7 linked regions of the Oryctolagus cuniculus genome follow. The protein of the gene in region 7 interacts with the protein of the main gene of each other region in a biochemical or structural test. Links are inferred from orthologs where the notes say so. Each region holds a gene or a part of one and is shown on either strand. Other genes may lie near its edges. The genes, in order: PJA2, UBR5, RNF4, OTUB1, PCNA, TRIM32 and ubiquitin-conjugating enzyme E2 D3.

What was found.
Region 1: the proteins of ubiquitin-conjugating enzyme E2 D3 (region 7) and PJA2 form a complex in vitro, tested with the Homo sapiens proteins (2 studies listed by BioGRID). The link is inferred for Oryctolagus cuniculus from reciprocal best matches to the Homo sapiens genes UBE2D3 and PJA2.
Region 2: the proteins of ubiquitin-conjugating enzyme E2 D3 (region 7) and UBR5 form a complex in vitro, tested with the Homo sapiens proteins (4 studies listed by BioGRID). The link is inferred for Oryctolagus cuniculus from reciprocal best matches to the Homo sapiens genes UBE2D3 and UBR5.
Region 3: the proteins of ubiquitin-conjugating enzyme E2 D3 (region 7) and RNF4 form a complex in vitro, tested with the Homo sapiens proteins (6 studies listed by BioGRID). The link is inferred for Oryctolagus cuniculus from reciprocal best matches to the Homo sapiens genes UBE2D3 and RNF4.
Region 4: the proteins of ubiquitin-conjugating enzyme E2 D3 (region 7) and OTUB1 form a complex in vitro, tested with the Homo sapiens proteins (3 studies listed by BioGRID, with this or other methods). The link is inferred for Oryctolagus cuniculus from reciprocal best matches to the Homo sapiens genes UBE2D3 and OTUB1.
Region 5: of the proteins of ubiquitin-conjugating enzyme E2 D3 (region 7) and PCNA, one has a biochemical effect on the other in vitro, tested with the Homo sapiens proteins (3 studies listed by BioGRID). The link is inferred for Oryctolagus cuniculus from reciprocal best matches to the Homo sapiens genes UBE2D3 and PCNA.
Region 6: the proteins of ubiquitin-conjugating enzyme E2 D3 (region 7) and TRIM32 form a complex in vitro, tested with the Homo sapiens proteins (3 studies listed by BioGRID). The link is inferred for Oryctolagus cuniculus from reciprocal best matches to the Homo sapiens genes UBE2D3 and TRIM32.

Annotation. Positions count from the first base shown.
Region 1 is NC_091445.1:32,043,396-32,047,741, forward strand, and holds the start of PJA2 (E3 ubiquitin-protein ligase Praja-2), read right to left. Parts: upstream 2,864-4,346; 5' UTR 2,695-2,863; intron 2,064-2,694; exon of another isoform or gene 1,943-2,063; intron 1-1,942.
Region 2 is NC_091437.1:127,607,116-127,610,775, reverse strand, and holds part of UBR5 (E3 ubiquitin-protein ligase UBR5), read left to right. Parts: coding exon 1-183; intron 184-947; coding exon 948-1,021; intron 1,022-2,522; coding exon 2,523-2,695; intron 2,696-2,794; coding exon 2,795-2,908; intron 2,909-3,660. UniProt on the Homo sapiens protein: E3 ubiquitin-protein ligase involved in different protein quality control pathways in the cytoplasm and nucleus. Mainly acts as a ubiquitin chain elongator that extends pre-ubiquitinated substrates.
Region 3 is NC_091433.1:1,253,985-1,258,113, forward strand, and holds the start of RNF4 (E3 ubiquitin-protein ligase RNF4), read left to right. Parts: upstream 1-1,173; 5' UTR 1,174-1,333; intron 1,334-4,129. UniProt on the Homo sapiens protein: E3 ubiquitin-protein ligase which binds polysumoylated chains covalently attached to proteins and mediates 'Lys-6'-, 'Lys-11'-, 'Lys-48'- and 'Lys-63'-linked polyubiquitination of those substrates and their subsequent targeting to the proteasome for degradation.
Region 4 is NC_091432.1:7,239,733-7,244,172, forward strand, and holds the start of OTUB1 (ubiquitin thioesterase OTUB1), read right to left. Parts: upstream 2,827-4,440; 5' UTR 2,686-2,826; coding exon 2,532-2,685; intron 1,951-2,531; coding exon 1,889-1,950; intron 1,690-1,888; coding exon 1,591-1,689; intron 1-1,590. UniProt on the Homo sapiens protein: Hydrolase that can specifically remove 'Lys-48'-linked conjugated ubiquitin from proteins and plays an important regulatory role at the level of protein turnover by preventing degradation.
Region 5 is NC_091442.1:30,190,142-30,194,417, reverse strand, and holds the start of PCNA (proliferating cell nuclear antigen), read left to right. Parts: upstream 1-1,421; 5' UTR 1,422-1,661; coding exon 1,662-1,882; intron 1,883-2,727; coding exon 2,728-2,825; intron 2,826-2,976; coding exon 2,977-3,044; intron 3,045-3,918; coding exon 3,919-4,113; intron 4,114-4,276. UniProt on the Homo sapiens protein: Auxiliary protein of DNA polymerase delta and epsilon, is involved in the control of eukaryotic DNA replication by increasing the polymerase's processibility during elongation of the leading strand.
Region 6 is NC_091432.1:220,201,118-220,205,260, reverse strand, and holds the start of TRIM32 (E3 ubiquitin-protein ligase TRIM32), read right to left. Parts: upstream 2,844-4,143; 5' UTR 2,764-2,843; intron 2,625-2,763; exon of another isoform or gene 2,495-2,624; intron 2,348-2,494; exon of another isoform or gene 2,239-2,347; intron 1-2,238. UniProt on the Homo sapiens protein: E3 ubiquitin ligase that plays a role in various biological processes including neural stem cell differentiation, innate immunity, inflammatory resonse and autophagy.
Region 7 is NC_091438.1:28,033,053-28,037,024, forward strand, and holds ubiquitin-conjugating enzyme E2 D3, read right to left. Parts: upstream 2,489-3,972; 5' UTR 2,316-2,488; coding exon 1,872-2,315; 3' UTR 586-1,871; downstream 1-585. UniProt on the Homo sapiens protein: Accepts ubiquitin from the E1 complex and catalyzes its covalent attachment to other proteins. In vitro catalyzes 'Lys-11'-, as well as 'Lys-48'-linked polyubiquitination.

The sequences.
Region 1 (4,346 bases), on a different chromosome or scaffold from region 7:
TCCAAACAAAATGAGCTCTACTTCCAAATAAGTATATTTTATTGTATTGAAGGTAGCCTCAAGGTTAATTTAACCTCTCTTAGAAAAATATTAACCAGATAATACTGGTGACACCAGTATTTTTTTGTGGTGACTCCCCACAAAAATTGTCAAAAATATCCAAGAAAACTCAATACCTATTTATGGTTATCAAAAACATTAATAAAATGAAAACAGTAGAGTCATGTTGGAAAGCCAAGAATAGAAGGAAATTTTTTAATACTGGCTACTGATCAGAAAGCTTCAGCAAACACCCTAATAAAAGCTGAAACAGAAGCATTCCCCTTCAAGTCAGGAACACCCAATGCTTCACTACTAGTGCTATTATTAACATTAGATAGTAGCTATGATTGATAAAGCAATGAGGGAAATTCATTAGGTTATCAACACTGGAAAGGAAACCACGAAACAGTAAAGATTTTCAAATCATCATCAACCCAATAAAATGATTAGCTACATGATAAACTTAGGAATTCAAATACTTTCCTATAACCAGAAGAAAAATGTTATTGAACCATCTACCACAACAATCAAAACTACAAAACATTTAGGAATATTCAGAATGTCATATGTAAGGCAAAAGATAAACTATAAAATTTTGTATTCCCTAAGAATATGAAGGAACACGTGGATAAAATGGAGAGAACACCTCTTCCAAGGGGACAGACTCATACTGTAAAGGTCAGCTCTCTCTAAATTAATCTAAAAGTTCAATACAACATCATACAATATAGCCCAGGATACTTTTTACTTGAGTCTGAAGTTTGTCTAGTAGGAGAAAAAGCTTAAGCAGAAAATATTTTCAAAAGATGACAGATAAATGGTTATCAAAAATTTAAATATGCCCACCCTTTAATTAAGTAATTCCGTTCCTAGGAATCCATGCTCCAGAAATCAGCTCACACAGGAAGTTTGCTGACTTGTTCTCAGGGACTACTCTTAGGATGCCAGGTAGGACAAGAAGTGGGAGGTGTGCTTCTTACCTTCCAGGCCTCCACACTTGAAAATTTGTAAATCAAGGCTCTAAGGGAGGTCATTAAACATCAAGCAATAAATCAGAAAGTGGACTTCATTATAAGCCATTATTTGTGACTGAAAAAGGAAACTGCAATTAACTTAAACGTCTTCCAATAAGAAGCTGGCTGCTTGAGTAACAGCCCATTGGCTGATGAACTACCACTTCCTCTCCAAGCCTTTAGGAGAGAGCCACACACGACCAGGAAACTCTCGGCCAAGATGTACAATCAGGTGAAAAAAACGACTGATGGACAAAAGTGCTGGATATACTCCCACTTCAAGAAAAAAGGCCAACGCACTGTGCATGTCTGATGTCCACGTGTTTCAAAGTGCATTTGTAAAAGAAATTTTGAAAGATTAACAGTAAACTGTTAAGTCCAGTTACTGGAGTGAGACTGGGGGAGGAGAAGAATTTTTCACATTTCACCTAAGAGTCCTTTATTTACATCTCAGACTGTACACCAAGCTTGCACATCTGTAATTAACAACAGAAATGAAGTGGTTATTTCACAATTGAAAACCAATTCCAGACAAACGACAAAAGTCGAAAAAAAGTTGAGACCTTTATTTCTGTTATCTTAGCTTTTATTTACATACTCTTCAGCTGATCTGCAGCCTTTAGCAAAGGTGACTGCCATTTTAAAGAAGCGGGACCAAACATTTCATGATAAAAATAACAGAATGGAGTGAACCTTTTTTTTTTTTTTTTTTTAAGAAAAACGTCAACTTCGCAGAACCAGCGGACTCAGAGCAGTGCCTATGCAGATGTAATTTTTCTGTTACGTCTAAGCCAGGGAAACCTCCCCGATTATTCTTGCACCCTGCAAAAACACTATCGGACCGCCTCCCCCTCTCTTCGACTGGGTCTGAGCGGCTTTAAACTCACCATTTTGGAAGTGCGCAAAATGATTAACTAGCAGTCGTCCCGGGGAGGCCAGCACCGGCGGTGCGGCGGCCCGCCGGAGGCGCGCTCCCGGGCAGCGGCGCCCAGGCAAGGGGCTCCCGGGACCGGGGGACCCCGACGGCTACGCTGCCCACGGCGTGTCTGCGCCCGGGGCCTCCGTGACCGTCGGGAAGCACGCACACGCAGCCGGCCGGCAACGGCCACGGCAGGTTTCGGGGGGAGGGGGCCGCAGGCCTGCGGCGTCAGGGGCCCGGCTCGCCCGGTGGGCACCGCAGGCGGGTGGGAGGCGTTGGCGGGCGGCGCACTCGCCCGGCCGCGAGCGTGGGGACAAGGGCGGCGGGGTCCTTGGCCGGGGCACCAAGGACAGCAGACGAGGCCCGAGGAAGAGCGGCCGGCGGAGACCCCACCACCACCACCACCACCACCACCACCACCACGCCGAGGGCTGCCATCCGTCGGGGACGCGGCGTCCGCGGGGCCCCCGGCCCGGCGCGGACAGGGCCCAGGAGGCGAGGAAGGCCTCTTCCCAGCCATCAACCCCACCCACCATGGCCGGCGCTGCGGGCCGGGGACAGGCCCCGCTCCTGCTCCAGAGAGGCAAGAACGGCAGATGAAGGCAGCCATTTCCTCGCCCCGACCCCCACACTGCTGACATCCGAACAAGCCCGATTTTAAAAAGAAAAAAAAAAAAAAAAAAAAAAAGAGGAGAGGAGAAAAAAAAAAAAGCCCCTCACCGAAATGTGCAGCGGCTCCGGAGCGAGAACAGCGCTCGATCCTCCACCCGCCACCACCGCCTTCTTCTCCGCCTCCGACTCCTCCCCCGCCGAACGCGCAGCAGCAGGCGGCTGCGGCGGCGGCACGGCGGCGGCGGCGGCGGCGGCGGCGCGGCGGCGGTAGCGGCGGCGGCGGAAGCAGAGGTGGCGGCGGCGCGTCCCGCCCCTTGCGCGGCGGCGGACACGGTGGGGAGGAGGAGGAGGCGGAGCACGGCGCGCGGACCCCGCCCCCGAGCTCTAGCCGGCCAATAGGAATCAGGAGCCTCTGCCGGGGGCTGAACGCGCACGCCCAATGGGAGCCTGAGGAGTGGGCTCGCGTCAATGGTTGGGACGTGGCAGAAAAAGGGAAAAATACTCGCACTGTCTTCAGCGTCTTGTTTTTCGTGGGGGGGGGGCCCTCGCCGATTGGTCGAGGAGCGGGAAGACGGCGCCCGACTCCGCCTCCTTGCCCCGCAGCACTGCGACGTTTGGGCAGGGGGCGGTGCTGAAGCGGCACAGCCTTTTGTGGTGCGGGCTGGGAGAGGGCGGGTCTCCGGGAAAGCTCAGGGGGGTGTGGAGGGCAGGGCTGGCGCAGTGAGGACTTTATCACGAATTCCGGGAGCGGCCGCCAAGATGGAGCCGTCGGGTCGGTCCTGATTCGACTGGGAACCTGGCGGAAGTTCAGGCCCTGCCCCTGCTGGGGGAGACCCGCCTGGTCCCTGCTAAGCCGTGGCCGCAGTGCCCGCGGTAGTCCCCGGACGCCTGGCTTCGCTTAGACCTGGGTAACTGGCTACGCCCGCGATGCCGAGCGCCGCTTCGTCCCGCACTCGGCCACGCGTCGCCGCCCTGAAACGCACCTGCGCGTCCGCTCCCCCTGCCCCTGGCCGCGGCGCTCGGGATGGGTCGATCGCTTCCCTACGCCCCGCGCCTCCAGCCCTGTGACAGCCCCTGTTAGGGACCTGACGCTAGTTTGTTGATGGAAACAAATCATCCGTAATTTACTGTAGAAAGTTGGTTTTGTGGGAACTTGCTGCGTGTTTTGTGGCAGCAAGTCTGATTCCCAGCGCAGCCGTTGGAGTACCTGTGAGTATCTTTGCAAGAACCCGTTCCCCACTTGGTACTTAACTCTGCCTTCGCACGTGCTGCTCTGTGAGCTTGGAGTCTTTTTCTACCCAGCTCCTTCACAACTTGAGAAAGAATTCATGTTGTCATTGTATTTCCTAATTTCCCGGTGGGATCTTGGATTGCTTGAAAACACTAGTTTCCTTGGGTGGGCGGGGTTTCTGAGATTTCCACTTTTATTTATTATTTTCTTTAAATAAATGTATTTTTAAAGAAAAGTTTGCTTGTTTTATTTATGTGAAAGGCTGAGCTACAGAGAGAGGGGGAAGAGAGAGTGAGCTTCCATTTGCTTGGTTTACTCTGCAAACGCCCTTCACAGCCAGGTCTGGGTCAGAGGGAAGCCAGGAGCCAGGAGCTCCATCCACCGCCTCCTTCCCAGGAGCGTTAGCAGGGAACTGGATGAGAAGCGCAGCAGCTGAGGCTCACAGTGATAGGTGGGAAGTCAGAAATTAGCTTCTGTGTGTGTGAGAGGGGCTGTAGGAAAACAACGCATCTGCAGAAGCTCCCCTTGG
Region 2 (3,660 bases), on a different chromosome or scaffold from region 7:
AGACTTTCTGAATTATGCGCTCTCTCTCATGCGGTCACATAACGACGAGCACTCAGATGTTCTTCCAGTTCTGGATGTTTGCTCATTAAAGCATGTGGCCTATGTCTTCCAAGCCCTTATCTATTGGATTAAAGCAATGAACCAGCAGACAACATTGGATACACCTCAGCTGGAACGCAAAAGGTGGCTATACTTGTGATTTCTTTTTTTTTTAGATCGAGATCAGGATCAAGCCAGGAGCTCCTCTGGGTCTCCCACGTGGGTGCAGGGGCTGAAGCACTTGGTCCAACCTTTGCTACTTTCCCAGGCACGTTAGCAGGGAGCTGGATCGGAAGTGAAGCAGCCAGGATATTTTTTTGGTGCCCATATGGGATGTTGTTGTCACGTGCAGTAACCTTGCCTGCTACACCACAATACCAGCCCCTACCGTGTTGATTTAAGACATCCTTGATGGGTGTGTCTCCATTATTATATTGTCAGCTTTTGGAATAAGGAGAACAGCATTGCAAAGAAAGTAGTGCAGGAACATTTTCATGTGGGAAAGTTAGTCTGAGTATATTCTGCCTTTTTCTGTCAGTTATAGTAGTCCATGTAGAACGGAAAGCCTAAGAGTTGGTTAAACTTCATGTTCGAGGTAGTTTGGCCTGATTATCATGTTTCTATTATAGTGAATGTAGGCACTCACTATTTCTTGGATGATTTTTGGTTTTTGCTTCTGTTGACTCCATTTTGTATTGTACCACATGAGTACCATTCCCAGAGTCTGCAACTCTTTGGTAACAATCTTTTAAATTGGTAAGATACTTACTTAGATGACCATTTCTGTGGGTTTTTTGTGTTTGTTTTTGTTTTGTTTTGTTTTGTTTTTGCTGGTAATTCTCCTTACCTTTCCTCCTATTCATATTACACAAATTCTCCATGTAAAATGACTCATTTGTCTTTTAAAGGACACGAGAGCTCTTGGAACTGGGTATTGATAATGAAGATTCAGAACATGAAAATGATGATGACACCAATCAAAGTTAGTGCACGAAAATCTGCTAATCTACTTCAAGAAATGGCTGCCTCAGTATTTCCCCTCCAAGCTTTTTAACTTCATTGTTTTCTGTCTGGGTGGGAATTTCTCTTTTCTTCTCTATATCCCATTTCTTACCTTTTCTATCCATTTTCCTTATATATTCTTACATTATATATTTCATAACTAAAGATGAATTAAATGTTGCAAACTTTTCAACAGTTGATGTTTTTTGCTACTTCATTTTTTTTTAAATGAGAGGAATTCCTCTTTTTATTTTATTTATTTGAGAGAGTTAGAGAGGTAGAGACAGTGAGAGAGAGAGAGGTATTCCAACCACTGACTCCCTCTGCAAATGACTGCAACTGTTGGAGCTGAGCTGATCTGAAACCAGGAGCCAGGAGCTTATTCCGGGTCTCCCACGTTGGTGTAGGGGCCCAAGGACTTGAGCCATCTTCCACTGCTTTCTCACGCTCGTTAGCAGGGAGCTAGCTCAGAACTGGAGCAGCTGGGATGCAAACCAGTGCCCATACGGATGCCAGTACTGCAGGCTGGGGCTTTTACTCTCTGTGCCACAGCACTGGCCCTGCTACTTCATCTTTTGTGTTTCTGTTAGTTTTATGTTTACCTTTACTCATAAGTAAAGTATGTAGGAACCAAATTTAAATAAAGTCTTAGAGAAGCCTTTATTAATATTGATGCACAATAGAGTTCTTTAAGAAGTTGAGAAATACCGGTTATAACTCCCAAATATTCAAAGCTGTTAATGTGATGAGAGGAGAGAAAATATTCCACACTCCAGATTTTTCTTCCGAAGTTTTAATACCATGAGATTTTGTAATCCCCTGTAGGTACTCCTAGTTCTCAGCTATTACGTCAGTTGGGGTGTAAAGGTCTTTAAAACATGTGGGACTTTTAGTCAGCCTTGGGGAAGAACTGCCCTAACCGCTCTTGGTTGAGAACTCAGCCATTTAGTTCACTGCTGGTCTGCCTGCACGCTAACTCCTGCCCAAAATCCTTGCATTCAGGAGAGTTGGTGGGAGCTTGCTTGCTTACTGGTGGGGTCTGATTTGCCCAGAAAGTTCTGTTTGTTTTCTGTGGTGAGCCAGTGCTCAGATGGTAGTTCCTGGCCATCTCCTGCTTTTGGCATGAGCAGTGAGGACCCTCGCTCTCGTTTGAGTCTATAGAGATGAAGAAGAGGATATGGGAAACCTGTCTGATAAAGCATGGAATATATGTTACTGCTTTTTTGTTTGTTTTACATTTTTTAAGCATTGCAAGATGCATATAACATACATTTTACATGTAAAATTTATCATTACAACATTAAGTTGCTATATTTTGAATTAATACTTGAAAAATATTGTCCGAATGTATACTATTAGCTTGTTTTGGGGTGGTATTAAAATTTTAGAAAGAAGAAAGGAATATTTGGGTTGAATAGATTCCTTTATGCTTCCGTAATAATTAACTTTTTCAAACATTTTATCTCTCTTTCTTTGTTTAGGTGCTACTTTGAATGATAAGGATGATGACTCTCTTCCTGCAGAAACTGGTCAAAACCATCCATTTTTCCGACGTTCTGACTCTATGACGTTCCTTGGGTGTATACCCCCAAATCCCTTTGAAGTGCCTCTAGCTGAAGCCATTCCCTTGGCTGATCAGCCACATCTGTTGCAGGTGGATCGAATGAACAAACTAGTTTTAAAGTTTTTTCTAATTGACTGTATTTTCTTTTAAATACTGAATGTAGTGAGAATGTTTCTGTTAAAATTCCAGCCAAATGCAAGAAAGGAGGATCTTTTTGGCCGTCCGAGTCAGGGTCTTTATTCTTCATCTGCCAATAGTGGGAAATGCTTAATGGAAGTTACAGTAGACAGAAACTGCCTTGAGGTAAGATAGTAAAAGTCTTTGCAGTATAACATTTTTGTTGTTAATTTTTTTTTAAGTTTTCATTTATTTGAGAGTTAGAGTTGCAGAGAGAAGGGGAGAAAGAGAAAGGTCTTCATCTGCTGGTTCACTTCCCAAATGGCTGCAAGTGCCAGAGCTGGGCCGATCCAAAGCCAGGAGCCAGGAGCTTCTTCCAGGTCTCCCTCACAGGTGCAGGGATCTGAGCACTTGGGCCATCTTCCACTGCTTTCCCAGGTCATAAGCAGAGAGCTGGTTTGGAAGTAGAGCATCCGGGACACAAAGCAGTGCCCCTGTGGAATGCCTGCACCATAGGCCAAGGCTTAGTTTACCATGCCACCGTGTTGACCCCATCACTATAACATTTTTAAATGCACAGTTTTCCCAGCATCTAGATTTTCAGATATACATTACTTTGGAATATTACACTAAAATAATGGAAATGTCAGAAATTTTTGCCTTGTGAAAGAAAGGAATTCCAGCACTGTTATTGATTTGCTTTGTCAGGTATTTAATCCATAAAATAGGTTTCCCAGCTTTTTCTGTATTGGTGTATGCTAAAAATTTAAGTTTTTGTATACATAAAAACATCATAAATATTTGAGCTATTGAATCTTGGCTTAAAACTTTGCTCTAACTTGCTAAAGTAATTTGAATCAAGAATGTAGATTGATAAAATAGTATTAATAATAACTAACAATTATTGATGTTAATTCTATCTCCTGGGCACTGTCTGA
Region 3 (4,129 bases), on a different chromosome or scaffold from region 7:
GGCAGGGATGATAATTCTGTGTAGCCTTGACAAAATGCCTGTGGGTACTGACCTAACCTCCCACCTGCCTGTCCACCCCTCATAGTAGTTCCTGGAAAGAAAATCCCTCAAGGCCAGACCTAGGGTCCAGATGCTATCTGCAGGGGAGATAAGTGCCCACTGCCTCAACTCAGAGCGAAGTTTAGGAAGGAAGAGCCGGGGCTGGGACTCAGGGGTCCAGCCAGCCTCAGCATCACAGGCCCGGCTCCAGCGCAGGGCCTGGAGCTCCGCGGGGCTCACACCTGCCAGGGCGGTGTGGGGATCACAGGTGAGGGCAGGCTGAGACCCGGGGGCTCAGATGCCCGCAGGAGGCATCCAGGGCTCCGCCCGCGCCCGGGGCTGGGAGGACACCTTTCTCCAGGCCGGTCCTGGGGTGCCTTCCCTGCGGGCCCTCGCCCACCCCTCCTGCCCACCCGGCCCCTGACACCCTGACTCCCCTCCCCAGGCTGCGGGACACCCAGCTCCCTGCTTCCTGCCCAACTCTCTGCTTCTTCCGCCCGGTACTCCGGCTCTTGGCCCCAAGCTCGCTTCCTCTGGACAGCCCTCCCAGACAAGCCGGTTTAGGGCCCCTCTGGGCTCGCCAGTGGGGACTGGGCCCGGTCCTCGCGGGGACGGTGACCGCCCCGCCCCGTCCAGGGCCTGGTACCAGGCGGCGCTGATCCAGGCCCGGCTTCCAGCTCGTGCCCCGGGAATATTCCTCTCCAAGGTCTCGTTAACAGGCAAGGAAACAGGCCCGGGGAGCTGGGCGCAACGTCTGGTCTGGACCAACGTCCAGCTTGACGTCGCCGGCCGGCCTCGTAAGTTAGCGCCATGGTGGCTGCTGTGCGGGGTGGCAGCGCAGGACCGGGACCGTTCGGAGCCCCCTCGGCTCCGGAGAGCGGGTCACCGGGGGTCGGCGGGCAGCTGCCGCGGGCCAAGCGCTCGGACCACCCTCAGACTACAACTCCCGACAGGCCTTGCAGGCGGCGCGGCGCGGACAAGCTCTCTCGCGGGAATGCGGGGGCTGAGGCGCGCGAGCGTGGGCGGGGCCGGAAGCGACGCGGTTCAAAGTGGTAATGGACGTCTTCCTTATCCAATAGAATTGGAAACAGGGCTCCTTCCCCGGCAGCCGCGGGCGAAGGGGAGGCGGCGGCCACTGGGGACGCGCGGGGGGCGGGGCCTGGGCCTCGGGAGCGGAAGTGGACTGCTGTGGAGGCGGCGGCGCCTGGCTCGGGGGCTTCTCCTCAGCGGCTTAGAGGTGCTTCCTCGCTCCAGGACAGTGGCGGCGGTGCCTCCCGGACCGGAGCAGCTCCGAGTAAGGCCCGCTCCTCGGGGAGGGAGCGGCGGCCGGGCCCAGCAGACGCCGCGTTCGCGCGGCCTGTCCAGGCCTCGGCGTCCGCGCCTCCGGCGGCCGCCCAGCGCGGCGCGACCCGCTGCGGGCCCCGTGGCCGGCCGGGCCTGCCGGGACTTCGGGCCGCCTCTGCCCACCCGCCCCGCCGCCTGCGCCGGCGTCCCGAGCCTCGCTGGGCGCGGGAGAGGAGGTCTAGGGGGCTCCCCCGGCGCGGCCGCACGACCGGGCTCGGAACTCCGAGAGGGAAACTGAGGCTCGGGCCGGGGCGCCCAAGGTCACGGGAGAGGCGCCCGGGCCTGCCGGCGGCGGGGAGGCAGTGAAGGCTCGTGTCCTCCTTTGTGCTGGCGCCGCCGCCCGCCGTCGGGGGCCCGCGAGCTCGCCGGAACGCCTGGCCGCGTGGCGGGCGCGCTGCTCGGCTCGGCTGGGCGCGGGGCCTGGAACCGGGGAGCCCGCGCTTCCGGGTGCAGCGTGTGGCCGCCGCCCCGGAGGCCCGTGTAGGAGCCCGCGGCGGACCCCCGGGCGCCCACCAGCGTCCACCTCGGGCGGGGAGGGCCGAGCCTGGGCGAGCCGCGCCTGCGGGATGCAGCTTTTGTCTTCCTGCGGCGCCCGCGGACGCTCGGGGTCTCGGCCTGCGCAGCCGTGCCGGGGTCCTGGGGGGTGAGGCGGGCGGCCCGCGGTCGCACGGTGGAGCCGAGTTCTAGCTGCGGGACCCGGAGTGCGGGCCGTGTGGCCGTGGGAGGCGGCGGCGTTGAAGGGGATTTTTTTGCTCTGGGTCGGTTTTGCTTGTGAGTTTGGGGTCGTTGTGTTGCTTGAACTTGACCTTCCAGTCCTGACCCGGAACCTCACTAATGACGCTTAAGAGGGTCCCGACTGCTCGCCGCCATGACGTTAGGGCCGCGTATATGGGCATACTGTGTGTCTGGTTTTTATTCTGTGAACATCTGTAGAGAAAGGGAGAGACAGATCTTCATCTGTTGGTTCACTCCCCAAATGGCCGCCGTAACCAGGGCTGGGCTGGGTGGAAGCCAGGAGCTTTATCTGAGTCTCCCAAGGCGGCCCAGGGCCCAAGCACTGGGGCCATCTGCTTCCCGGGCGCATTAGCAGGGCTTGGGATTGGAAGTGCAGCAGCTGGGATTCCAGTGGCTTCCATTTGGGAGGCTGAAACTGCTACACCAGAGTGCTGGCTCCTATGGTATGTCCTTTGTGTACTGTACATATATCTGTTCTTTTTTTTTTTTAAAGATTTATTTATTCACTTGGTAGAATTACAGAGAGAGAGGAGAGGTAGAGAGATAGAGGTCTTCCATCTGCTGGTTCACTCCCCAGATGGCTACAACGGCCGGAGCTGCACTGTTCCAAAGCCAGGAGCCAGGAGCTTCTTCCGGGTCTCCCACACGGGTGCAGGGCCCAAGCACTTGGGCCATCCTCTACTGCTTTCCCAGGCCACAGCAGAGAGCTGCATGGGGAGTAGAGCAGCCAGGACTCAAACCGGTGGCCGTATGGGATGCCTGCACTGCAGGCTGCGGCTTTACCTGCTACGCTACAGCGCTGGCCCCCATGTATCTGTTCTTAATACATAAAATAAGTAGGATTTTTCACCCTCTTTCAGAAGACACACTTTAATATTCTGAGCACAGTTTTGAAGCAAACAGTAGTGGATTACAACAGTGAACAAAATAGGAATGTGGTGCCTCTCCTGGAGCTAAGGGCTGAGAGACCCAGAAAGTCCCTGACACTGAAGTACAGACTGTGCAGGAAGTGTGGCAAGAGATGGGACAGACTGGAGACACACGCAGGATCCCGAGAGATGGGACAGACTGGAGACACACGCAGGATCCAGAGAGATGAGACAGACTGGAGACACACGCAGGATCCAGAGAGATGAGACAGACTGGAGACACACGCAGGATCCAGAGAGATGAGACAGACTGGAGGCACACGCAGGATCCAGAGAGATGAGACAGACTGGAGACACACGCAGGATCCAGAGAGATGGCACAGACTGGAGACACACGCAGGATCCAGAGAGATGGCACAGACTGGAGACACACGCAGGATCCAGAGAGATGAGACAGACTGGAGACACATGCAGGATCCAGAGAGATGAGACAGACTGGAGGCACACGCAGGATCCAGAGAGATGGCACAGACTGGAGACACACGCAGGATCCAGAGAGATGGCACAGACTGGAGGCACACGCAGGATCCAGAGAGATGAGACAGACTGGAGACACGTGCAGGATCCAGAGAGATGGGACAGACTGGAGACACACGCAGGATCCAGAGAGATGGCACAGACTGGAGGCACACGCAGGATCCAGAGAGATGAGACAGACTGGAGACACATGCAGGATCCAGAGAGATGAGACAGACTGGAGGCACACGCAGGATCCAGAGAGATGGCACAGACTGGAGACACACGCAGGATCCAGAGAGATGGCACAGACTGGAGGCACACGCAGGATCCAGAGAGATGAGACAGACTGGAGACACGTGCAGGATCCAGAGAGATGGGACAGACTGGAGACACACGCAGGATCCAGAGAGATGGCACAGACTGGAGACACACGCAGGATCCAGAGAGATGGCACAGACTGGAGGCACACGCAGGATCCAGAGAGATGAGACAGACTGGAGACACACGCAGGATCCAGAGAGATGGCACAGACTGGAGACACACGCAGGAACCAGAGAGATGGGACAGACTGGAGACACACGCAGGATCCAGAGAGATGGCACAGACTGGAGACACACGCAGGA
Region 4 (4,440 bases), on a different chromosome or scaffold from region 7:
ATACGGCCAGTCCCGGTTGCGCAGGGACACACGGCCAGTCCCGGTTGCGCAGGGACACACAGGCAGCCCTCACTTCAGAAGGCCGGAAGCCCGAGTCCTCTCCCTCTCTACGGCAGAATTTTGGAAAGCGGCCAGGTGCACGGTCCCCGTGCTCTCCCACACAGGAGGCACCTGCTCCAGCCAAGGTCACAAACCCCGGGCAGCACTGCCCCCGGGGTCACCAGGTCCGGGTCCTTAATGACCCCACGGGTCCTTGTCGCCCCTGAACTCCAGGCAGACCCTCCTCACCCCTCCACCCTCCGAAGGTCAAGGCCACCACCAAACCACACTGCACCTTTCCTCAGTATTCCTGGGTCACCTCACATACCCACACGGGCGCCTGCCAGGGAACGCAGGCCACGCATGGTGCAGCAGGTGCCCCACGCGGCTTCCAGCAACAAGCTACGCTCACGCTCACGACAGCATCGAGCCCAAGTTCAACAGCCCCAAATGTAAACCCACGCGATGTCCGCCCTCCACTCCAGCTGAGTCTCACGTCCAGCTACCTCCCCCTTGCCTCAGAGCCCGGGCATCTTGGCCTACAGGGCCGGGGTGTGACCGCGCAGCCTCGCCCCACCCAGGCTTCCCGGTGTCCATCTGGGCCTCACCCACATCCAATACCAGCAGAGCCTCTGAGCACCCTAAATACCCAATCACTTCCCACGACACTCAAATACCCGCCCTAAACACCCAATCACTTCCTATGACACTCAAGTACATGCCGAGTGACCTGGAGCCCACCCCGTTGATTTCTACGGGAGACAGTGGGACAGGCAGCCTGGAGATGCGGCCCGGGGACACGCCCCTCCGCACGGGACTGGCGCTGCGGGGCGCTGGCCAGCACCACCCTCAGCCCGCAGCTGCCCCTCGAGGGAGAAGGCCCCTCCTCCCAGAGACCGACAGCAGCAGGAAGCCGCAGGGGTCTGCTGCCGCAGCGTGGCTCCCCTCCCCGCAGGCCCCCCAGGGACGGCCACGTGTCCACCACAGACCACACGTGGACTCTTACTCAGCTGCCCACCGCCGCAGGGGGACCTCACTATTTCTGGCTCCCCTTGGCAAACTGGAGCTGCCCCAGGGCAGAGGAGGGGCGGACACTCGCTCTCGCTGCAAGGCTGCCACTGCCCACGACGGGAGGGGGGCCCCGCTGTCCACGTGGCCAGGCCACCTGCGCCCACAGGCCTCTCCTCGGGTGAAGGCTCCAAGCATCCCCGGTTCACTGTGGGGAGACGTTCACTACACCTCCACACCCGTCACGCTCTGCTCTCAGAACGCGGGAGGGGAGGGGCTGGCCCTGGCTGGTGACACCCACAGCCACCCACCTCAGCAGATCCAGGAGGCGGGCTGAGGGGCAGCCTCAGCCGTGGGGAGGCCCCGCCCAGCACACACCTGGCCGCACACAGGCCTCAGGACCTGCCCAGGACACCGCTGCTGAGGGGCGGGACCTGCATCTGGCTCAAGGTCTCTGGGCCAGAGCCGGCACACCTCCAGAACCGCCCCCCCCAGGGCACAGGCCCGGCAAGCCCCAGTCCTGGCCCTGCGGCCGGTGCCCACCTTGATCTTCTGTTGGTAGATGTTGTCGTCCTCCGCGTACTCCTTGTACAAGACCGAGAGTTCCAGCCGTTCGGACACCAGGGGGTTGTGCACTGCGATCTGCGGGGGGCAACACAGCCAGGACGCTGGAGCAGGGGCAGAGGGCTGGGCTGGGTACCCAGTAACGCGGGACAGAGCACCGTGCAGTGCCGCCCAGCCCGAGGAGGAGGGCGCTCCGAGGGAGAGACAACTCAGACCGGCCGGCCCTCGCCCAAGACCGGGTCACCGGCCTCTGCCCCCCCCGCTGAACGCCCCTCACCTCTTGCTGAATCCGGTCCTGCTGGGCCATGATGGCTTCATCGTAGGCCAGACAGTTAACACCTGGAAGAGGCCGAGGAGCCGGGGATGACTGGGCGTCCTGGCCCCTCCGCTGCGGACAGCTGGGCCAGGGATGCGCAGCTGGCGGCAGGGGCAGGCGTCCCACGCCCTTCTCCTCCCGAGCTGTGCCCAACTGGGAGAAATCCTTCCTCATCTTTAAAATGAGAGGAAGAGAGGAAGAGGCGACCAGCCCAGGGTCCGCTGTCCCGCCCGGCACCGGCCCAGGGTCCGCTGTCCCAGCCCAGCACCGGCCCAGGGTCCGCTGTCCCAGCCCGGCACCTGCCCAGGGTCCGCTGTCCCAGCCCGGCACCGGCCCAGGGTCCGCTGTCCCAGCCCGGCACCGGCCCAGGGTCCGCTGTCCCAGCCCGGCACCGGCCCAGGGTCCGCTGTCCCGCCCGGCACCGGCCCAGGGTCCACTGTCCCGCCCGGCACCGGCCCAGGGTCCACTGTCCCGCCCGGCACCGGCCCAGGGTCCACTGTCCCAGCCCAGCACCGGCCCAGGGTCCACTGTCCCGCCCGGCACCGGCCCAGGGTCCACTGTCCCAGCCCAGCACCGGCCCAGGGTCCGCTGTCCCGCCCGGCACCGGCCCAGGGTCCACTGTCCCAGCTGGCACTGCCTTCCTCCCTGCTGTCCATCAGCACTGGCCTGCCCAGGAATGCTCGGGGGCAGGGCGAGGTCTCCTGGGGGGAAAGCAGGGGGCTGCGGGCAGAGCTTCCTGGGGGCCTGCACTTCCGCATCCTCCCACGGTACCCCTGATGGTGCCCATTTTCCAAAGAGCAAAACAAAGGCAGAGGGGTGAAGTCATCCTGGCAAGTAGAGACCTGCGGTCACGCCCACGTGTGTCCAATGCCCAGCGAGCCCCGCTCTGCTCCGCCACCTCGCCGCCGAGCCCCGGGCGCCCCAAGTGCTGCATCGGGGGGGGGGGTACCTTGGCGTGCTCTAGGAGCAGGGCCCCCTCTCTGCAGAAGTCCCATGCGCAGGGCTCGCGAAACCTGGATTCGGATCCTGGCTCGCTCTTAAATTCTGTGACCCTGAACAAGTCACTGCTGGGGCCTGGGCTTGCCGGTTCTCCGTGCCGGTGAGCGCTGAGCGACTTCTTGCAGGGTTAACGCAGCTGGGCCCCGGCCCGTGCCCTGCGCGGCTCTGCATCCGCCGCCACCCCCACCCCCCACCCCCAATGCCCAGCTCGGTCCCCGGGGCCCAGCGCCCGGACGGAAAAGGAGGCGGGTGGGGCCACTTCCAAGGCACCCACGTCCTCAGGGGTCTAAGAAAACAATGGGCGGGCGGAGAGAGGCGGCCAGGCCAGAAGAGGGGGCTCTACCGGAAACGGCCGAAGTCCGAAGGGGCGGACGCCCACGGCCCCTCCGGGGCCAGCGCCGCCCACAACACCGCACCCGGCCGAGCCGGCCCTCCACGCTGCTCGACGCCTCTCGGCCGTGAGCGAACGCCGGCGCCGCGGTCCGGGCCTAGGCCTCGGCCGGCCCGACGGGGGCCCCGGCCCGGGAGCCCGGCGCGGAGGGCGGGGCGGCCCAGGCCCCGCCCCGGGCGCGCGCCGGCGGCCAGGCCGCGAGACTGCCCGCCCCGCCCGGCCGGGGGTCGCGGAGGGAGCGCCTTCCATTGTGAGGGGGCAGGGAGGCGCGGAGGCAGCGGCCGTCCGCGCGTCGCGGCCGCCCCGGCCGCCCCGCCTCCGCCGCCTTCCCCGAGAACAGCCGGCCCGGCCTTGCCGCCGCGGGCCCGGGCCGGACACCCCTCCCGCGGTCCGCACCTTCGGAGTCGCTGCCCAGCGGCTCCTGCTTCTGCTGCTGAGGTTCCTCCGCCGCCATCTTTAAACAGCGCCGCACCGCCGAGCGCTTCCGGGTTACAGCCGCCCTCCTCCCGGAAGCGAGTCCCGCCTGGCGGCCCCTCCTTGGCAACGGCCCTAGCAACGGGGTCCCCGCGGGCGGTGGCCGCGGCGGCGCAGGTGCGGGGCCCCTCGGGAGCCGGCCGCCCGTAGCCGCGCCTCCGCGTGCTCGGCTCTCCCAGCCCCCGAGTTCCGCGGCGTGGCCGCGAGCCTCCTGCAGCCGACTCAGCTTTCTCTGGGGCTGGAACTGCGGGCTGCGTGATGGAGACCCGTAGGACGAGTTCAGCTACAATCACTGCAGGCTCCTCCAGCTGCGGGCGCCGGCACCCCTTGCAGGCGGCTGCAGCTGCAGTGCCGAGCGCTGGCGAGGGCACCGGGAGCCGGCCGCACCGCCGTCCCCACCGTGGCTTTGGCGACCTGCTGCCCCCAGGGACGGCGTCCCCCTTGGTGTCCCGGCTGTGGGAAAGCGGTCGTTACACGCGAGGGCTTAATAGGACAATCGAGAGTGGCTGGGGGGTTAGGAGAGGGGCTGGAGGCACGTGACTCTGAGGGCCGAGATGAGCCACACCTCGACTGTACCGGTGTGGGGGTCCTGGCAGTGGGGGAGACCACACAGAATCTGTTATTCCTTAAGGTCGCGCGTAAGTTAACT
Region 5 (4,276 bases), on a different chromosome or scaffold from region 7:
ATTTTTTTTTCAATATCCTTTCATTTACTTGAAAGTCAGAGTGATAGAGACAGAGGCAGGGAGAAAGAGAGAGAGGTCTTCCATCCGCTGATTTACTCCGCAAATGGCCACAAGCAGCTGGAGCTTGGTCAATCCAGCGCCTGGCCAATACACAGCCAGGAGCCAGGAGCTTCTTCCAGGTCTTCCATGTGTGTGTGTGGGCCCAGGAATTTGGGGCCATCTTCCACTGCTTTCCTAGGCCATAGCAGAAAGCTGGATCGGAAGTGGAGCAGCCGGGTCGCCCATATGGGATGCCAGCACTGCATGGAGCGGCTTTACTCACTATGCTACAGTATTGACCCCTAAAATAAAATCTTCTATCTGGGGCCAGAGCTGTGGCAAAGGGGGTAAAGCTGTGGCCTAAAGTGCCAGCATCCCATATGGGCGCCAGTTTGAGTCCTGGCTGCTCCACTTCTGATACAGTTCTCTGCTGTGGCATGAGAAGGTAGTAAAAGATGATCCAAGTCCTTGGGCCCCTGCACTGGCATGGGAGACCCAGAAGCTCCTGGCTCCTGGCTTTGGATTGGCGCAGCTCCAGCCGTTGTGGCCATCTGGGGAATGAATCAGTGGATGGAAGACCTCTCTCTCAGCCTCTGCCTCTATAACTCTGCCTTTCAAATAAATAACTCTTAAACACACACACACACACACACACACATCGTCAAGAAATACAAGCATTTGAAAGATACCGATCTGTAACACTAAACTTTTCACACAACTGAGCACGGATTTAAAAATGAGACTTTCAGTATCTGTAGTCAAGAAAACATAGGAGATGAGCACGCTTACACACACGATCTTTAGAAGCCAACTAGTAATTTATCTGAATGAGTATACTCTTCATTCATCACTGCTACTTCAGGGAGTTGAACTCACAAAAGCACCCAAATGCCCAAAGGTGTTCTTAATAACAGGAATTGGTCATTAGGTCGCATACATGGGACGTTACGGAACCTTTATTAAGTAAATACCGAAAAGATGTTCGTGACATACTCTGTTGGAACGTGAACGTATTTCTTTTTAAATATCTTTTTATAGAAGAAAGTGTAGAAAACTGTAGACAGCAAACAGTTGAGAGATTATATGATCTTGGTATGTGTGTGCTGGGAGCCAGTGATTCTCCCCTCAAAGCGAGAGGCTTAGAAACCAACACAGCGCACCAAGCTCGACGGTCACCCGGTGCTTCGTCGCCCAGACATGTCTGGCGTCCGCCCCAGGAACTAAGAAAAACGCGGGGCGGCTGGCAGTGCGTCACCCTGTCGGCCTCCGAAGGCGCGCTGTGCGCCTGCCCCGCCCCCGCTTCAGCAGCCTCCAATGACTGCCTTTCGGGGGCGGGCTTTGCGCGGAGCAGGAACACGATTGGTCCTCAGGATCCCTTCCGCCCAGCCGGTGGGCGGGGAAGCGTCGTGACGCCTTAACACGGGGCGCAGGGGCGGAGAGCGCGCGCTTACAGACGCGGCGGCATTAAACGGTAGCCGGCGCTGCGAACCAGTCGTCGTCTTTCGGGGGGTCTTGGGTACACGCCGCTGTATTCGTCCGCTCGTCCTGAGCCTCGCGAAGAAGTTTCAGCCAGAACTTTCTCCTTTACTCGCCTGCAGCCGCGACACTGCGACCCCGCCACCATGTTTGAGGCACGCCTGGTCCAGGGCTCCATCCTGAAGAAGGTGCTGGAGGCACTCAAGGATCTCATCAACGAGGCCTGCTGGGACATCAGCTCGGGCGGCGTGAACCTGCAAAGCATGGACTCGTCCCACGTCTCCCTGGTGCAGCTCACCCTGCGCTCCGAGGGCTTCGACACGTACCGCTGCGACCGCAACCTGGCCATGGGCGTGAACCTCACCAGGTAAGCCCGGGGCTCTGGCCCACCGCCATCCCCGGCTCTTGGCGGGAGCGCCTTCGAGGCGGGCCCTCATTGGCTGGGGTGGGCCACCGGCGCCTTCTCATTGGCCTGCCACGGCGGGAGGCGGGACCCTGGGGAGCGCGCGGTTCCGAAAAGCCCGCGCTGGCCGCCGCGCGAACCGGCTCTTTTCCGCGCCAACGTCACAAAAGCGAGTGGTGGCGGGAAAACGCCTGTCGCGGAGCGCTCTGCAGCCCGGAATGGGGAAACCTGTGGTCGTGTTGACTCGCACTGCGTTGTTACGTGCTCTCGTGGCAACGTGTGGCTCTGTGTCACCCTTCTTGGGCCACATGATGTTTCTGGGTCTTTATTACACGGTCGCACTGAGCATCCTAAACTGGATTTGTCCTGGGGACATTTCCCCGGGGCATTGGCTTTCAGCTTCCTGACTGCTCCCTGTCTGGTCCGTGTATACGGTTAAGTTTTAAAAGGCTCGAGAGAAATAACTCCTAGTGCGTGGGGCGTGTTTCAGGTTTGTTAGCTCACTTAATAACGGTCGTCGTGGCCCACTAATTTACTAAACCCACTGGAGGGATTTACAGTGCACAAAATACTGCTGTTTATGTGTTACACCCAGAGCTGAAATTGCTGGTGTGTTCCGGTGTTAAGTATTAGTAGGACCGGGTTGCCTTCCTGAATGGTGCTGGACCCCTGAACCCAGCCTCCAGCCAGTTTCCCCTCACCTGTCTATCACACAGCCTGAGGGGTGGGCATGGTAGCTCCTGATTGCGCTCGGAATCTAGATTTAGAGCAGATGGTGTTGATTGCAAACCGTATCTTGTGTGTTGTAGCATGTCCAAAATACTAAAATGTGCCGGCAACGAAGACATCATTACACTGAGGGCTGAAGATAATGCGGACACCTTGGCGCTAGTATTTGAAGCACCAAGTAAGTCATAACCTTGTACTGAGTTATGCTATAGGGAACTAAAATCTCTCTTGATTCTCAGCTGTGAGAATTTTAAATTTTTTGTGATGGTCGTAAAAATTTACATCATGATTATAAAACATTTTTCTTAACATTTGCTTTCTTTTCGTAGATCAAGAGAAAGTTTCAGACTATGAAATGAAATTAATGGACTTAGATGTTGAACAGCTTGGAATTCCAGTGAGTATCAGCTTCTGATTGCACATAGTCATCAGTTACTTAAGATGTGTTAATATAACCTAATGCCTACTGCCTATATATCTAGATTTTCTTTTTTTTTTTTCAAAGCAAGATTTGTATATTTGTATGACAGTTGTCATTTTACTAAACTGTAGCAGCCTAAAACTGACTGTGGGGTGAATTCATTTTTTGCTGTGGAGTGCTTACTTGCATTAGCCTCTGTGCGTCTTTTTTTTAATTAAGGGTGGGCTTATCACCATTAAATGAGAACAGCTGTTGGGAATGTTTAAAATGTAAAATGCATAATGTGTTTTCACTTTTAAGTCTGCCCCATCACTACTGTTCGAAACCCTAATATCCTCTTGATTTGGCTCTGGAGGATCATTAAGAGGTTCTTGTATGATTATTATGCCATACTACTTTTAGTTGGAGTGTGAGTCATATACTAACCAGTTTTTAATTAAAGATTTGAGAAGCAAAGTGGCAAACAGATGAAAAGAGATCTTCCATTCACTAGTTCACTCCCTAAATGGCTGCAATACCTAGGCCTGGCCCAGGCCAAAACCAGGAACCTGGCATTCCCTCTAGGTCTCCCACAAGGGTAAAAGAGGCCCAAACACTTGGGTCATCGTTTGCTGCTTTCCCAGGTACATTATTAGCAGGAAGCTGCATCAGAAGCAGGGCAGCTTGTATTTGAACTGGCATTACAGTGTGGGCTGCCTGTGTCTGCAAATGAGTTTAACCTGCTGTGCCACAATACTGGTCTCTAGTAATGTTTTAAAGAAATCAGAAAAACCTGAGATCTGAGTTTAGACGTTTGCTTAAGAGTGAGGATGTCAGATTTCCAGCAGTTAATGTTAAGTTTGTTTTATAGGAACAAGAGTACAGCTGTGTAGTAAAAATGCCTTCTGGTGAATTTGCACGTATATGCCGAGACCTCAGCCATATTGGAGATGCCGTTGTAATATCCTGTGCAAAAGATGGGGTGAAGTTTTCCGCCAGTGGAGAACTGGGAAATGGAAACATTAAGTTGTCACAAACGAGCAATGTTGATAAAGAAGAGGAAGCTGTAAGTAGTAAAGTTAGATTTAGCATTTCTCAAATATTTTGGAGAATTGTAATGTCCAACAAATTAGGTTAATTATGAAAGGTAAAAATAAAAATGCATTCCAGGTTACTTGTGAAAATTGAAAATATTGCTACTATTTGAAATCTGCAAGTGATCCCATTAA
Region 6 (4,143 bases), on a different chromosome or scaffold from region 7:
TGGAGGAAGCACCTGGCTATTGGCTTCGGATCGGCACAGCGTGCCAGCCATAGCAGTCATTTGGGGGGTGAACCAACAGAAGGAAGACCTTTCTCTCTGTCTCTCTCTCTCACTGTCTAACTCTGCCTGTCAAAAAAAAAAAAAAAAAAAAAAAAAAAGTGACAAGACAAGTACTTGTCCAAAGTCACAGAAAATTAGCAGAGTAAGGAGTCTGGACTTCTAGCCTCTGATTCCCAGATGGACTGAATTCCCACTATACATTTTCCCAAGCACTGTATGTGGGTATTTTAGTTATGTCTCTTGCCCTGGACCCAGTCCAGCTTTGTTTCTGAGCTGGCTTCAGCAATGCTGTAGGTAGTCCTAAAGCTATACCAGGGGAAAGAAACTTAAAAGAGATCACTCATAACAGTAATTATTTTCCTGCAGGAGGGCTGCCTTAAGCCTCAGTACCTGCTGGAAGGTGTTTTTGTCAAGTCCAAGTCAGTGGCCTCCATACCTCAGACTCTGGTTCCCTGTACATCCATCCTGCTACCTTCAAGTTCCTCTCCCTATCTACCCACTGGTCATGGTCTAAAAGCAAACCAAGTACAAAGATTAGGGATCCTCCATACCTAATCAGAGATAGTTTAGCCTCATCCGTTACCACCCTACCTTTAGAATTCAATTTGATATGCAGTGTACTCACTGGGCAATCTTCCTTTTTAGTAGTGGGGAATGGGCCAAGTAAGTAAGACTAAGCAGGCCCACACAAGGAAGAAAGAAGCAAAGAGAAAATGTACAGTTACAGAGATCTGGATGTTAGTTTAACTTTTACCCAGTCTAGCTAAAAAACCTTAAGTAAGCCACTTCTTAAGTCTTAGTTCCTTCATATGTAAAACTTATATTCAGGAAACTGTTATTAAAACTAAGGAAATGTATACACAAACCAAAAACTACTGAATTCTAAGCACTTACTATGTACTTCACACTATGTATACCTTCACTGAATCTTCAATATATGATGACATAGGTCCTGTTATACTCATTTTACAGACCAAGAGCCAAGGCACTGGGAGGTTAAGGTATTCACTCAAGACCACACAGTTAAGAGATACAGCCAGGATTTGAACGCAGAATATTGACTACAGAACAGTCACTCAGTTTTAGCACTATTAACATTTTGGCCTGGATAATTCTGTTGGGGGCTGTCCCATGCATTATCAGATGTTAACAGCATCCCCAGTGTCTACCCACTACTGACCATCCCAGCTGTGACAAAGATGTCTCCAGACATTGCCAAATGTCCCCTGGGGACAAAACTGCCCCTCATGAAGACTACTTCTTTAGAGTCTAGCAAAGGACCAAAAGTTCAATATAAAAGAGTTTTCCTTTTATTGTTTCTCTCCCATTCCAAACAGTTCTTTTGCAAAGCCACTGCCTCTTCAAGCTATAATGGACCTTACACAGGATGAATTCCACTCATTTCCCTGGAGTTTTCATATTGTCATTCACAACTTGGGGATACAAGGAAAGGAAAGCTTAGGCACATGACCTTGTCATTTTCTGCTTCATCACCCCTTTGATCACTCTTCTTCCTACCAATGTTAGCAAGTCAAAGTAGAGATAGTGGCAGCACCATGCCTGCCTCATCAGGGAACTCTGGCTAATAACTGAGGAAAATTCTGCCCCTCACAAGAAAAGTAAAAGCACCTTCATGACCTACGAAGGCTCATGACTGTTCCTCAATTTCATACATTTATATAATTTCTTTTGGACGCTCAGGTGCCCAGAACACCCTCTGCTTCCCGTGCAGGGAGTTTAGGAAAAAAAAAAAAAATCCTTCAGTAGCCCAACACCAGCCCACAAATCTACTCAAAGTCTTTTAATTCATGACATCGCCTCTCACCCCTCCCCCCTTTCAATCCTCTTAAAACCCTGTTCCCAACCATCTTGCTATACAGAATTGCAACCTTTTGGGCTCTATATTGCAACCCGCACCGATTCTTCCTTCCTGTGCCCCATATCCCCCTGACAGTCTTTAATCCGTGTTTCCAAAGCTCTGGAGCCTTCAGCCCTGCACCCCGATTTCTGTCATCGTTTCACCTGAATCTCATCTCCTGCATTCCACCAGGCACTGTGCGGTCCCCAAACCCCGCTACGTTCTTTCTTACCTAAATCTTGTCTCTTGTGTTGCTTTCAAACCTTAGCCTAGCCCCCTTCCTTTTGCTAACAAGATACTGCTTGTCCCCAAGAACTCACCTCCTCCATTTCCCCCAGATAGCGCTCTGCAAATTCCTTTCTCTTTAGCAGTTAGGTTCGCCCTACACCTTCTCCTTCCAATCTTAGATCTTGGCCCCCGCCCGGTTCCCTCAAATCTCCTGAGATCCTCAAATCTCACCAGGGCCCTGTGTCCTTCCTGTTTTTGCAATTCTACACCCAGACCCCTCCAGCACCTCAGATTCCCTCCCATTTATCAGACGTTGCACCCCCTGTCTCCTCAAGGGTCCCACATTACCTCATATCTCCCGAGATGCTGCAACTGCGAATCTTCTCAGAGCCCCTGGCTCCCCTCCCCCAGCTAGCTACATCTCCTCGCAACTCCTCACCCCCACCGAATTTCTCCCGAGACTGCCCCTCACAGCCCCACCCCCACCCAGGTTTTGCCCTCAGATCCGGTACCCACACCCTGCCAGTTGGCTGCGGGCCTCCAACGCGGCCGCTCAGCCACCGCCCGCGACTCAGACCACGATCCTTCCTCCCCCTACCCTCCTTCCCGCCCCCTACCTGACCGCCCGCGCCTCCGACGCGTCCGCCGCCGGCAGCCCACCGCTCGCCGGTTTCTGCGCACGCGCGGCGCGTGCTACTCTTGTGAGGCAGCAATTCGCAGAGCGACCTGTCCGTCATTTCGCCCCCACCTCCCCCGGGGCATGCTGGGATTTGTGGTCCAGCCAGTGCGAGCGCCCGGGCTGGGTATATCCTCCGTGACTAGCTCTTTACCGAAAAACGGTGGCACTTAGCAACTCAAAATACTTTTCTGGTGTCTTTGAATGGGTTAGAAAGCTGAGGCCCACGGGCGAAAGGCGCCTTCCCAAGTTCACTCAACTATTTGGGAGCTAAGCCAGAACTCACTTGTTTGATTCCAGTCTCAAAGTCTAAACCTCTGCACTAAACCATGCCCTGCATGAGTGGTCCTCTGCAAAGCCTTTGCACTCCTCAGAAAGGCCTTTCTGAACCTCGGTTGCCTCATCTGAAAAATGGACAAAGAAAGACTAAAACTTGCATTCTGCGCAAGCACAGAACCTGCCCACCTCAGAGTGCAGCGCCCCGGGCAAACCTCTGACTCACCGCACCAGCTGCTGGAGGAAGTTTTACCTAATCAGATTATTCTCGGTAAAACCTTTTGCCTCTCCAGCCTACAGCACAGGTTGTCCCTGCAGACTGAAGCTACCTAGGAGCCCAAATCAGAGTCTAGCTTTTGCGGGGTGGGGAGACTTACCAGGTGGTCTGTGGTCCCCTCTACTGGAGTGACCTATAGTCCCTGAGGTCACGACTGTACTGGGTAGTTTAGGAGCACAAAGGAGTGTGAAGTAGGATAGGATTGCATTTGAAATTCCACTTAGCTGTGTTACCCTGAACAATGATAAAACAGCAAACAAAAATGGTACCAAAACATCTTGGAGCACTTCTTGTCTGCCTGCATCTGACATACCTGGCTCCTTTAATACTTATAAGGATTTTCTGAGATAGGCAGTTGATGCCTAGGTGATTCAATAGCAAAGCCACTTGTTCCTAAGTTTCAGAGCCCAGATTTGAATACAATTCAGAAACCACTTTTTTTTTTTTAATTATTTACTAGAAAGACAAGAGTGATGGAGGGACAGAAAGATCTCCCATCTGCTGGGTCACTTGCTACATGGTAACAACCAAAGGCAGAAGCCTAGACCTCTATGAGGGTCTCCTATGTGGGCGTCAGCGACCTGAGTACTTGAGCCACCTCCTCTGCCTTTCCAGGCACACTGGCAGGGAACTGGATCAGAGGCAGAGCAGCAAGGACTCAAAATAGGTGCTCTGATGTAGGATGCTAGCGGACCAAGCAGTGGCTTAGCTCACTGCACCACAATACTGGCCCCTGAGAATCCACCTTTTTCTTTCTTTCTTTCTTTC
Region 7 (3,972 bases):
TTTGTTATTCTATCCCTGGGCTAAAAATACACTTAAGTTTATTTATTTTTACTCATTTGAGAGAGAGAAAGAGAGTGGGAATATCAGTCAGACCAGGAGAGATATTCTATCTGCTGGTTCACGTTCCAGATGCCCACAGCATTCAGCGTTGGGTGAGGCCAAAGTCAAGAGCCTTGAACTCAGTCTGGGACCAACTCCTTGAGCCATCACCAGTGCTTCCTAAGGTGTGCATTAACAGGTTTCTGGAATTGAAAGTGGAGCTGTAACTCCAAACCAGACACTCTGATATGAACACAGGTGTCTGAAGTGGGGACTTAACCATTGAGTTTAATAATACTTTTAATCTTCTACCTGAAGTAGATTTTTTTCAGTTATTCTTCCAGTGAGTATCTGTGGTTGGTAAATTTTCTCTTTGTCTGAAAATATCTTAATTTCTTTTTTTTTTTTTCAATAGCATTTTATTCATTCATGTTAAGTCACCTGAAATGATCTGTTTTAAATGCTCATTAATGTAAATGGCTGAACAAATCCATTTCAATGGATACTCAATATCCCACATAGTTAAGTCACTTCAACACAGCCTCATGACAACTCCCACACCAAAACAGTACTTTATTTTGTAAATTTTGACCCATTATTACTCCCAAGTTATGTTTTTATCAGCTGTCAAGTGTACAAGGTGAAGATAAGTTTTAGTTAGATGGGGCTACACCTGGAAAATAAATTTCTTAAAACTCCATATACACGCTTCAAAACTGCTGGGTCCCAAGTCCATCTATGAACTCCAGGGCTGCCAGTATCACGGTGCAGCATATTAAAGCTACACTATCTGAATAGCTTATTAATTCTGCATAAATCAGGTCAAGCAATGTGTCAACCTGTAACAGACTGTGCACTCTAACTGAACATGGCAAAATATTCATTCTTTTGAACTTTACATCATCATTTGATGTCAAACAATGAAGCAAATCCCAACAGTATATACAAAAAACAGCTTTGCATTTACAAAAGATTGTTTCCTATACTGATTAATCCAGGCAGCTAACTCATTGGTTTATGCAACTTTATTGAAGAAAAATAAATCAATTACTAGCAGAGCTATTAGTTGATCACTCATCCATTGACAACTTGCATCATTTATTCAGTGCTATATTAAACAGTGTATTGGAAGATAGATTAACTAATAGCTCCAAGCCTCCTAACAATTTAAATGAAAATTACAAAATGTTTGAGACCCTATTTTGGAATACAAAGGGTGTTTGACTTTCAATTTCCATTCTCTGTAGAACAAGAACAGGTCATTCCTTTATTGACATGCATAAAATACATCACATTTTCTGTTCTGCTGATGCTATAAATTCAATACCAATTCTCCAGCCACATCAGTTATGAGCATAAAGTATATCATGTAACCTCAAATCTCTAACAGTGGAAGGCTTAAACAAGAATGGATGCTGCTAGAATAATGCTGCTTCCTTTGATGTGACAACTGAGCATCCATCTCCCTCCCTCTCAGATGATTTCTTCAGCATGTTAGAGCAGTGAGGAATGGTTTTAGTCTCATAACCAAGTTAGAGTGAAGACATTGGCCACATAATACACATGCTCCATTTTTTTAAAAAATTCTGAATCTTGGGCAACTGTTCTCTTGTAACTACTTTACAGTTTCTAAAAGCAGTTATTGTCCAAAGCTGGAAGAACTTAAGTCTTCTCAGATGAGCATGTGAATGAATGGAGGGAGGTAAACAAAAAATAAAATTAAAAAAGATGAGGTCTGATAGGGGAGCAGCCGGATAAGAAAATCAAAAAAGGAACAGTAATTTAAAGTTTATTCCAGCTATAATGCAGGTTATTCTGACTTTAAGGTAGCATCACATGGCATACTTCTGAGTCCATTCCCGAGATATTCTGTTGTACTTATCTCTGTCTGTTTTATAGATCCGTGCAATCTCTGGCACTAGGGGGTCATCTGGGTTTGGATCACATAGCAGTGAACAAATGGATAAAAGAACTTTAGAAATAGTTAAAGCAGGAGACCACTGTGATCTTAGAATATCGAGACAAATGCTGCCATTACTGTTAATATTTGGATGATAAATTCTTGTTGTAAATGCAACCTTAGGTGGTTTGAAGGGGTAGTCTGTAGGAAAATGAATTGTCAAAAAGAATACACCGCCTTGATATGGGCTGTCATTAGGTCCCATAATTGTGGCTTGCCAGTGAAACATATCATCCCCAACTGGACCTGCAGAACATTGTGCTGGAGGGTCACGGGCCAAATCACTAAGTTCCTTATTAATCCGTTTCAGCGCCATAGTCTGTGCTTTTAGTCTGGCTCCTCTCTCCCTCTCTCGGTGTATGCTCAGAGGTCCGGCCAAAACTCTTGATTATCCGGGCGGCGGGGAAGGATTGTCTCTTGGTCTCACGCCGGCTCTGCCAGACACAGGCGCTTGGTATGGAGGCGGCGGGTATCGCGAGAACGACGTGGACGGCTCGAAAATATCTTAATTTCATCTTCACTCTTGAATATTGGTTAAAAATGCTGTGGAGTTTTAGTTTGATAGGAATTTTATATTGAGTAAATTTCTCCAAATATTTAGCTTATCATACTACTGAATCGGTATGCTTTCTAATTGATCTTTGTCTTCCTACCTTCTGAGTCTCTTTTCATGACAATTTGTTTTTAACAGCAGTTAACTTCACAAAGGGCTCCATTGTGAGAAAGCAAAGGAAGATGGATAAATTCAGTTTCTACCTTCTCTTGCTGCAGTCATATTTCTTTCTTCTACATTCATTGTTTTCCTTTCCTGCCTGGAAGTTGGGTGCCTGTGGCAGACTTGAGATCTATATCACAACCTTATTCATTCCCTGAAAATTTGGCCAAGAATGGTGTGAGGTGGAAGCAAATAGAGCATTTCAGCTGTGAGAGAAAAATTATTGGCGTAAGGAAACAAATGTAATGAGCCAGAAACTGGATCAAGCTATACCAGCATGAGAAATAGTCACAACATCTAATGTGACCCGCAGAGATAAACAAGATTTGACAAAGGCATTTTGTATGCACCAATCAGTCTTTCAGCTTATTCAGGAATTAGGGCCTGAAATATAGAGATCTTAGAACACTCAGAATCCTTGACCAGACATAAATAATGAGTGCCCATTTACAGTGGAAGAAAATTAGTTCTATAAAACTGAGAGACTTGCCAATATTAGCTGCCAAATTAACAATATTGAGGAGCTCGATTCAGTCATTGCCAGTCTCTCCACCAGGACCAAACATCCTGACTTTTTCAGCACATGAGGGGTTATCAAAGCATTACCAAGATGTTGGCACTAAGAACCAGCCTCCTGTTAGATGCATTAACTCATACAAGTAACAAAGGAGGATTCCTTAGCCATCCTCTTCCATTTAGTTTTCCCTGAAGCAACGAAAATTCTAAAAGACAGATGAATGAGCTCTAATAGCACATTTTGTTTAGATTTATTTTCATTTCAATTCTTACATGCACCAACTACAAATCATCTCCTGCATAGGTGGTGAAATTGCTTGATTATAAGCCAGAAAGAACCAGCTTGCTGTAAGATATTTTGAAGTCCTATGACGTATCATCACCCTTCTAACAGGGATTACAATAATAGCTGGTACTTACTGAATCCATATTGTGGGCTTGGCACTGTGGCATTTAACATAGGGTGTTTGATTTAATCCTCACAACAGTCATACAGCATGTACACTACCATCATCTTCATATTGCAGAAGAGGAAGGTGAGGTTCAAAGAGTCTAAGGAATCAATTTGTCAGGGTTACTCTATGTAAAAGTGGTGGAAATGAATTTATAACAGTCATATCTGTTTGATTGCAGTTAAGAGTCTTCCATGTTAACATCCTGAAATAATTCCATGAGAAGTTCCCTGTTCTGTTTGAGATCATCTGCTGTGTTTCCATTCTCATCAGAATTTATTGAGTAAAAG